Arabidopsis thaliana: one gene and its partner. The protein of the gene in region 1 purifies or fractionates together with the protein of each later gene. This does not show direct contact. Each region holds a gene or a part of one and is shown in the gene's direction. Other genes may lie near its edges. The genes, in order: SPR1 and TUA4.

Region 1 (3,996 bases):
GCAATATCTTGCAACGGTTATGTTGGAGCAGATTTGGAAGCTTTATGTCGTGAAGCGACAATATCTGCAAGTAAAAGATCTTCAGATTCTCTTATTCTAACATCTCAAGACTTCAAGATTGCAAAATCTGTGGTTGGTCCAAGTATAAACAGAGGCATCACAGTTGAAATCCCTAAAGTGACATGGGACGATGTTGGTGGTCTTAAAGACTTAAAGGTCAATACTTTTTAAAAATATTCATTTTGCACTTTGTTGTCCTGTTTTCTCCATTGCGATTAATGGTTTTTTTTTCCTTGTGACAGAAAAAGCTCCAGCAAGCTGTTGAATGGCCAATCAAACATTCAGCTGCATTTGTAAAAATGGGCATATCGCCAATGCGTGGGATACTTCTACATGGTCCTCCAGGTTGCTCAAAGACAACTCTTGCTAAAGCCGCTGCAAATGCTGCTCAAGCCTCCTTCTTTTCCTTAAGGTATAGATTTTGATAGATCACATTTAACAAAATCCCCCTTTGGTTGTGAAACTTGTTTAAAGAAACTTATTTTTTCTTGTGTCTTTGTGTGGGTGTGCGATGCAGCTGTGCGGAGCTATTTTCTATGTATGTTGGAGAAGGTGAAGCATTATTGCGGAATACATTTCAAAGAGCTCGACTTGCTTCTCCAAGTATAATATTCTTTGATGAAGCTGATGTCGTTGCCTGTAAAAGGTTTGTCTCTATCTCTCCCAACTCTTGCTTCGTGTTATAGACTCTTCTTAACATGTTTATTTCCTTGGGTCTTCGTAGAGGTGATGAGAGCTCAAGCAATAGTTCTACAGTTGGAGAAAGGCTTCTATCTACACTGTTAACCGAAATGGACGGTCTTGAAGAAGCAAAGGTAAACAAAAGCTCATAGGCTTTTAAAGATTTTATCTTTGTTATTGGGTTGCAATGATATTGATCGGGTTTTGGTTTAAGGGAATCCTCGTCTTGGCTGCCACAAACCGCCCGTATGCAATTGATGCTGCTCTAATGCGACCTGGTCGATTTGATCTCGTAAGTCCTCATATTGGATCTTTTGATCACACGAGTTCTGAAATAGCAAACCTCATTGCTACCCTCTTCTTGATTTAGGTGCTATACGTGCCACCGCCTGATCTAGAAGCCCGGTTTGAAATACTGCAAGTGCATACACGCAACATGACACTAGGAGACGACGTTGATCTCAGAAAAATCGCTGAAGAAACCGATCTCTTCACAGGTGCCGAGCTCGAGGGTCTATGCAGAGAAAGCGGAACTGTCTCACTTAGAGAAAACATCGCAGCAACCGCTGTCTTCAATCGCCATTTCCAAACCGCAAAAAGCTCGCTTAAACCAGCGTTAACAATCGAAGAAGTCGAAACTTATTCATCATTCAGGAAGGCGGCGAAAAGATCTGATTCGAAACCGATTCCGATTAACAAAAAGAAGGCGACTTCCACCGTCTTCGGATTCTCATGGCAATTAGGTGTTTTGAGCTTATTGTTGCTTGCTACTGGAAACTATTACTTCAACCACACTAAACATGAATTACTAGTAGCTTCTGCTACATGAGACTTGAAACAGCTCAAAGTTAAAAAAAGTTGCTAATTTTGTTTTATTCATAAATACCAAAATATCTTTTGTTTCAAAGTTCAAATTTTTAAATAATAAAACGGCTAATGATTATTAGATTCGAACAATGACAAAGATTGGCCATTACACATGAATGGCCCACGAACCTCACCACCGTCGTGAAATTTCTTTAAGCACCAATAATTTCACTGGTTATCTCTTACTAATTAATTACTTTTTACGTGTTCTAATCCAAATCAACAATAATTATCTGATATTTCTTCATAAACCGGTTTTGGAATTTAGCTGAAAGATGTGAATTTTATTTTGTCTTATTAATCAAAAAATTTGAAATCGTTTTGATTTCAATTAAACCGGAACCCTGACACTAACAAAAACCGGTCTGAGCTTATAAATAGAGTGGCTCGCTGATGACTCAGTTAGTCAGCTCCGAGTCTGCGTTTTACTTCTTCTCCTTGAGTTTCTTCTTCTAGATCTGATCGCGAATCACCAAAAGGTTTGTTTCTTAACCCCTAAAATTCCTCCAGATCGCTTTGATTTCGTTTCTCTGATGTCTTAGACGAAGTTAGATCGTAGATTCCTATGTTTTGATTCCTCGATCATGCTTCGAATTATGGTGTTTTTATCCTCAATTTTTGGAGATTTGGTTTCTACGGATTTTGTAGATTCAGGAATTTAGAAATGGTGATTCGATTTCAATGGTTTTAGATCTGATTCAGTCTTCACTCTTGTTCCACTATTTTGAAAATTGGCTAAAAACTAGGTTTCGTCGTCTAATTCTCCCGACGTTCTTCGAGAAATGTGAACTTTGAGGTGAAGATTTTGCGTTAGCATATGTGGTTTTGTATAATTGACGTTGCTACTATTCTGATTGTGAATTTTAAGCAGCATTCACAATTGAATTGAGTCTTCACTTTGTTCAGCTCTGAATCTATCATCTCTGAATGTTGGCAAGTTATAGTTTCTTATTATATTTCGGTGTTTTGGTTTGTTGTGCTAGGTTTTATTTTATACAATGGGTCGTGGAAACAGCTGTGGTGGAGGTCAAAGCTCATTGGATTATCTCTTTGGTGGTGACGCTCCTGCTCCTAAGCCAGTTCCAGCTCCTCGTCCCGCTCCTACTGAGTCTAACAACGGACCTGCACCACCAGTAACAGCTGTGACTGCAACCGCACTCACGACTGCTACTACTTCTGTTGAGCCTGCAGAGCTTAACAAGCAGATTCCTGCTGGTATCAAAACTCCTGTTAACAACTATGCCAGAGCTGAAGGACAGAACACCGGCAACTTCCTCACTGTACGTTTTCGTGTCCGTTTTACTCGAATACCCGTGAATCGAAATGGTAATGATACTCACTCACTCTCTCCCTTTCTCTGTCTATCTCTGCAGGACCGTCCTTCGACCAAAGTTCACGCAGCTCCGGGAGGAGGATCATCCTTGGATTATCTCTTCACTGGTGGCAAGTAAAATAATTGCAAAGACCTTTATCTATCCATTGTCTTTGCTGCGTTATCTCACTATGAAACTGTTTGATGTGAGCCTTTAAATGATAAGAAGTCGGTTTCTTGTCTCAACTCTTATCTGTAATATTTTGCTGAAAAAATGTTTGAATCAAAAACTTCCCAACTTGTCTCTTATTAACCATCAAATGCGAGTACAACTTTTAATCCAATCCACTACACATTTATAAGAGATTTGGCATAACTAAGTGATTCGAAAACAGATTAAACTAGAACCGTCATTTAGGATGTTGAGGAGCAGGGATGATTCCCCATTTTCTACGAACTTGCTCCAAGTCTTCACTAAAGTGACGCTCATAGTACACACACATGAGGTCAGTGCATTGTCTTCCAGCACGAACAGCCCAAGGAAGGTAATGCTTCAAGAACATTGATCTTTGCTTCTCGTTGAACCTCACAGTACCTCCAATCACAGAGAGCATACACATCGGAAGATACATTTGCTCAAACTCGATAACTTTCAAAGACGACTCGCCGATAAGATTCGTAGGAAGGCCAAACAGAGTGTGCCATAAGTCGTGAACTTCGCGTGCCCGTGTCGCTACGTAAGCCAATTCATCCGTCTCCATGAATCTTACGGGCGGACGATCATCGGGAGAGAAGTTTCTAGATCCCATGAATTTAGCATATGCAGCTCCAAATGTGTTTTCTGGTAGATCCCAAGCATGACCTACTTGCTCTGACACAACTCGAGGACGCTCCAATAATATAGCCTTCAAAGTAAAGATACCACCAAAGATCAAAACACCATTGCTTACTCAACAATATAACCAACATCAAGTAAAAATGTTAATCAATTTAACATCACTCATTGCTTACTCCAGAATTACTAAATCGAACAATTTCTAAATCAATCATTCTTAAGCAAAATCAATGATTTGATC
Region 2 (5,159 bases), on another chromosome or scaffold:
CATCCAGACATACCCTTTTTCTCCGGTGAATCATCGTTTGCGCGTTCTAATCAGGTAACCTTTTTGTGTTCTCATCAGCAAATTTTCACCTATTTTTGATTAATCAAAGCTCAGTGACATTTCGATTTACATGTCTAGGAATCTATGAAGAATATATTACTTGTATTTGCGAAGTTAAACCAAGGCATCAGATATGTTCAAGGGATGAACGAAATTTTAGCACCTATCTTTTATGTATTCCGTAACGACCCTGATGAAGATAGTTCAGTAAGTAGACTCTTTTTGTTTCGGTGATACCCTTTAACCAACTTTCAATGATAACGTACACAGTTTTAAGGTAACAGTGCTAGTCTGGACCCTCAATAATTTCAAGATATGCGTTCCTTTGAAGTAAAAGCTCAAGACTGTTTTACTAAATGATGTGTCACAGAGTTACAAATAAAAAAGAACCCCGTAATCTATTAGTATGAATCTGACCTCTCTGTCTAATTTTCTTAGAAGATTGGTTCGTGTATGATCTTTTTTCTTCAACCTTGTTTTTCTTCTTCTCAGCTTCAATCAATTTCATATTAACTCTTTTCAAAATATGCAGTCCCATGCTGAAGCAGATGCATTCTTTTGCTTTGTTGAATTGTTGAGTGGATTTCGAGACTTCTACTGTCAACAACTCGACAATAGTGTGGTGGGAATCCGATCTGCAATTACGAGGCTCTCACAACTTGTGAGGAAGCATGATGAGGAACTGTGGCGTCATCTAGAGATCACCACGAAAGTAAGACATTGGTTTTTTCTTTCTCTCATGTCTTTTTGTTGTGACAACAACCATATTTGTCATTCTACTACTATAGTCCTAATGATCTGCTTTGTGCGGAAGATAAATTCCAATGATCCCCTCAGCTTACTTTGTATTCTTGTTCTCCTATCCATAACATAATAACAGTGGATTGGATCCTCTGAGATTGAGACTGACATTGTATAGATTCTTTGATTACAGGTAAATCCACAGTTCTATGCATTTAGGTGGATCACTCTCCTCCTAACACAAGAGTTTAGTTTCTTTGACAGTCTTCACATATGGGATGCACTCTTAAGCGACCCTGAAGGTCCGCTGGTAAGATCGTAATATCTTCTCCTTGATGCATACCCGAAATCAAATCGATAGATGCAGAAGTCACATTAGTTTACTGTTCCACTCATTTGCTTGATTAAAGAAGACCCGGTCTGTATCGTATTGTTGCAGGAAAGCTTACTGGGGATATGTTGTGCGATGCTGGTACTGGTGAGGAGGAGGCTAATCGCTGGGGATTTCACGTCGAATATGAAGTTACTTCAACACTATCCAACTACAAACATCAGTCATCTCTTGTATGTAGCCAATAAACTTCGTTCCAAAATGTTAGTATAAATCCTTTTGTTGGTTTTTTCTAGCTTTTGATTAAACCAACTTTTAGTTGCCCCCATTACAATATACAAAGCGTTTTTGTTTTGTTTTTATATTTTACTGTTTAAATGGCAAGACATGTTTGTTTGTTACGTTATCGTTTTGGAGATTTTCTCGGAAATCATGAATGCAAACAAAATGTGGTTGTTACTTGTCCTCCGATTTCAGTCTTAGAAGCCATATGAGGTTCTTGGAGAATCATTCTCCTCCTCCAAAACGTACATATGCCAAAACTCAGAGCCTTGACCACTTGCACTTCCACCCTGTAATGATTTACACAAAAGAGAAGCTTGATATTACCATTTCAGGCAAAAAAAAGTACAAGAATATTTATGACCAATACGGTGGTACCGAAATCATCTCCACTACAGCTGCTGGAGCTCGAAGCTCCGATTTTGGTTCAGTTCTTATCATTTCGGTTTACTGTTGACTTTGGTCTTTAGCAGGTTCAAATCGAATTAAATTTCGGTTAAGTTCCACGCAATTCAAGGGAATTTTGCAGCTTCAAAAATAAGAGAAACGGTCACAAAACGAGCAAAAATTCAAAATTAGAAAATACGCAGCTCACGAGTATCGTGATATTAACAACAACCCAATTACATCATTACACGTGTCGTTATATACAGATGGGTACTTTCGTTTATAAATACACATCAAACGCCTTACTAAAAACCTAGAAATAGAAAAATCAGATCTAGATTCAGTTTTTTTCATCAAAAAAGAGCGTCTTCATAAACGCCCTTCGTCTTCTTCCCTGGAAATCTAGTTTCTTTCTTCCACGAAAATGAGAGAGTGCATTTCGATCCACATTGGTCAGGCTGGTATCCAGGTCGGAAATGCTTGCTGGGAGCTGTACTGTCTTGAACATGGCATTCAGGTTCGTATCTAGATCTGTGCTTCTTCTATATTTTTCGTAATTTTATAATTCAGATCTGAGATAATTTGGCCATGCATTGACCTTGTTCTCCGGATTTCTGATGAATTCGTATATATTTAGTACGTAATTGTTTAGATCTGTGTTTGATTCCGATGTCTTACAATTTTTTTATGTGGTTTATGTAAGATCCGTTTCTCATTTTAGAAATATTTTTGACATACCTGTTTAGATCTGAGTTTGACATAGATTTCTTGTTGGTTGATTCAAGATCTGTTCGTTGAACAAAAAAAATATTCTAGGTTTGTTTAGAAGATGCAAATCGATCTATTTCCCATATACTTAAGCTTCTATATGCTTAGTGCATACTGTATGAGTTTGTATTGATATGTTTTGGATCTGGAATGTTACAGCCTGATGGCCAGATGCCGAGTGACAAGACTGTTGGTGGAGGTGACGATGCTTTCAACACCTTCTTCAGTGAAACCGGTGCAGGTAAGCACGTCCCACGTGCTGTCTTTGTTGATCTTGAGCCAACTGTGATCGACGAGGTCAGGACTGGTACTTACCGTCAGCTTTTCCACCCTGAACAACTCATCAGCGGTAAAGAAGATGCAGCTAACAATTTCGCCCGTGGTCATTACACCATTGGGAAAGAGATTGTTGACCTGTGCTTAGACCGTATCAGAAAGCTTGCTGATAACTGTACTGGTCTCCAAGGATTCCTCGTCTTCAACGCTGTTGGTGGAGGGACTGGATCTGGTCTTGGATCTCTCCTCCTTGAGAGACTTTCTGTTGACTACGGGAAAAAGTCCAAGTTGGGTTTCACAGTTTACCCATCTCCACAGGTCTCTACCTCCGTTGTTGAGCCTTACAACAGTGTCCTCTCCACTCACTCTCTCTTGGAACACACTGATGTCTCCATCCTCCTCGACAATGAAGCTATCTATGACATCTGCAGACGCTCCCTAAGCATTGAGAGACCAACCTACACCAACCTCAACCGCCTCGTCTCTCAGGTATTGTAGCCAGCCTCAACCAGTCTTTTTGCTGTTACATTTTCTTGGGCTCATCTAATGTTATTTTCCTATTTTGTTTTCAGGTTATTTCTTCCTTGACTGCTTCTCTGAGGTTTGATGGTGCCTTAAATGTTGATGTCACTGAGTTCCAAACCAACTTGGTCCCATACCCAAGAATCCACTTCATGCTTTCCTCCTATGCCCCAGTCATCTCCGCAGAGAAAGCCTTCCATGAGCAACTCTCAGTTGCTGAGATCACAAACAGTGCTTTTGAGCCAGCTTCCATGATGGCTAAGTGTGACCCACGTCACGGAAAGTACATGGCTTGCTGTTTGATGTACCGTGGTGATGTTGTCCCCAAGGATGTAAACGCAGCTGTTGGCACCATCAAGACCAAGCGCACTATTCAGTTTGTTGACTGGTGTCCTACTGGATTCAAGTGTGGTATCAACTACCAGCCACCAACAGTTGTTCCAGGAGGTGATCTTGCTAAAGTCCAGAGAGCTGTTTGCATGATCTCAAACTCGACCAGTGTTGCTGAGGTGTTCTCCCGTATTGATCACAAGTTTGATCTTATGTACGCCAAACGTGCTTTCGTTCACTGGTATGTGGGTGAGGGTATGGAAGAAGGAGAATTCTCAGAGGCACGTGAGGATCTTGCAGCATTGGAGAAGGATTATGAAGAGGTCGGTGCTGAAGGTGGTGACGATGAAGATGATGAAGGAGAGGAATACTAAGAAGAATGTTTCTAAAAACTTTGGATTTGTGTGGGTTTCTCTATAATCTCGTCTTGTGAGAATGGGCTCAAAACTCTTGGGAGTCTTTAATCGTGTGTGTTTTAAAACCTACTTCTCTATCTTTTCGTAGCCATGTTATCTCTCTATTATCTATTTCCTTTGTGTGTTAAATCGTTTCTGCCTTTCTGGTAATATCTTATCACTACTATCAAAACTACAAGGGTTATTTGAAGGCATGGAAAAAATTCATGAGATGTTATATATTTTGCATTTTGACCTAAGCATGATGATACTTTGGGATTCTTGAGAAATATGTGGCAGTGAGGATATAGCAGATAAATTTATGTAGTAAGATACTCTCTGATCAAAGTATCTAATCAAAGTCTATCTGATTAAATTAGCGTGTTGAATAAGAAAATGTGTATTAGTCTAACCTTAATTGGATACAGTTGTTGCTGCGGTTGGAACAACTGTATATGGGCTTTATATTTTATAAGGTCTATAAACATAAAACTAAAACAAAAATGGGCTCACTAAAGAAGGCCGGACAAGGTTAATCAGATAGAAGGCCAGTTACGTTTTTATTAGTAAAAAAACGCCCACACGCGCCCAGTTTATTAATTTTAGCGAAAAACGGCAGTTTTCCCAGTCTTATACGCGCTTAGTATGCGAGTGGGTAAGATATTTTCATTTGACAGTTCGCCTACCACGCGCCTCACTCATGGGCTCACTTTTATTCTGCCCATTGGGCTACAAGGAGCGTAATATAATTGACCCACATAAATTAAAAAAGGCCTACTAGCATAAACAAACTATTTTGACCCAAAATCGACAACCTGAGATTTTTATTTTTCCCCGACTGAACAATGTGGTTAAATTTTTGCAATGATTTTTATCTAATTTCCCCTAGAAAAATCATACAAGCATTAACCTTTACTTTTTTTCTTTTTTTTTGGTATATAGCATTAATCTTTACTTAGGGAAAAATGATAGTTGTTTACCATTTCTGCTCTTAGTAATATATAGATTTAAAGAAACTACTAACACAAGAACAAGTCGGAACCAATGCAATAAGTACTAGTCTCCAA

What was found.
Region 2: the proteins of SPR1 (region 1) and TUA4 purify together in Arabidopsis thaliana (affinity purification with western blotting, with the first as the bait; one study listed by BioGRID). This does not show direct contact.

The regions. Positions count from the first base shown.
Region 1 is NC_003071.7:1,118,792-1,122,787, forward strand, and holds SPR1 (spiral1), read left to right. Parts: upstream 1-1,995; 5' UTR 1,996-2,087; intron 2,088-2,111; exon of another isoform or gene 2,112-2,591; 5' UTR 2,592-2,606; coding exon 2,607-2,888; intron 2,889-2,981; coding exon 2,982-3,059; 3' UTR 3,060-3,264; downstream 3,265-3,996. Other genes in the region: CDC48B (cell division cycle 48B), read left to right, coding at 1-216, 303-472, 578-706, 785-875, 956-1,033, 1,112-1,570; AT2G03690 (coenzyme Q biosynthesis Coq4 family protein / ubiquinone biosynthesis Coq4 family protein), read right to left, coding at 3,331-3,825. UniProt on the Arabidopsis thaliana protein: Required for directional control of cell elongation. Stabilizes growing ends of cortical microtubules and influences their dynamic properties.
Region 2 is NC_003070.9:1,355,333-1,360,491, reverse strand, and holds TUA4 (tubulin alpha-4 chain), read left to right. Parts: upstream 1-1,944; 5' UTR 1,945-2,225; coding exon 2,226-2,318; intron 2,319-2,728; coding exon 2,729-3,334; intron 3,335-3,417; coding exon 3,418-4,071; 3' UTR 4,072-4,408; downstream 4,409-5,159. Other genes in the region: AT1G04830 (Ypt/Rab-GAP domain of gyp1p superfamily protein), read left to right, coding at 1-54, 139-267, 593-772, 995-1,111, 1,241-1,365, 1,638-1,710. UniProt on the Arabidopsis thaliana protein: Tubulin is the major constituent of microtubules, a cylinder consisting of laterally associated linear protofilaments composed of alpha- and beta-tubulin heterodimers.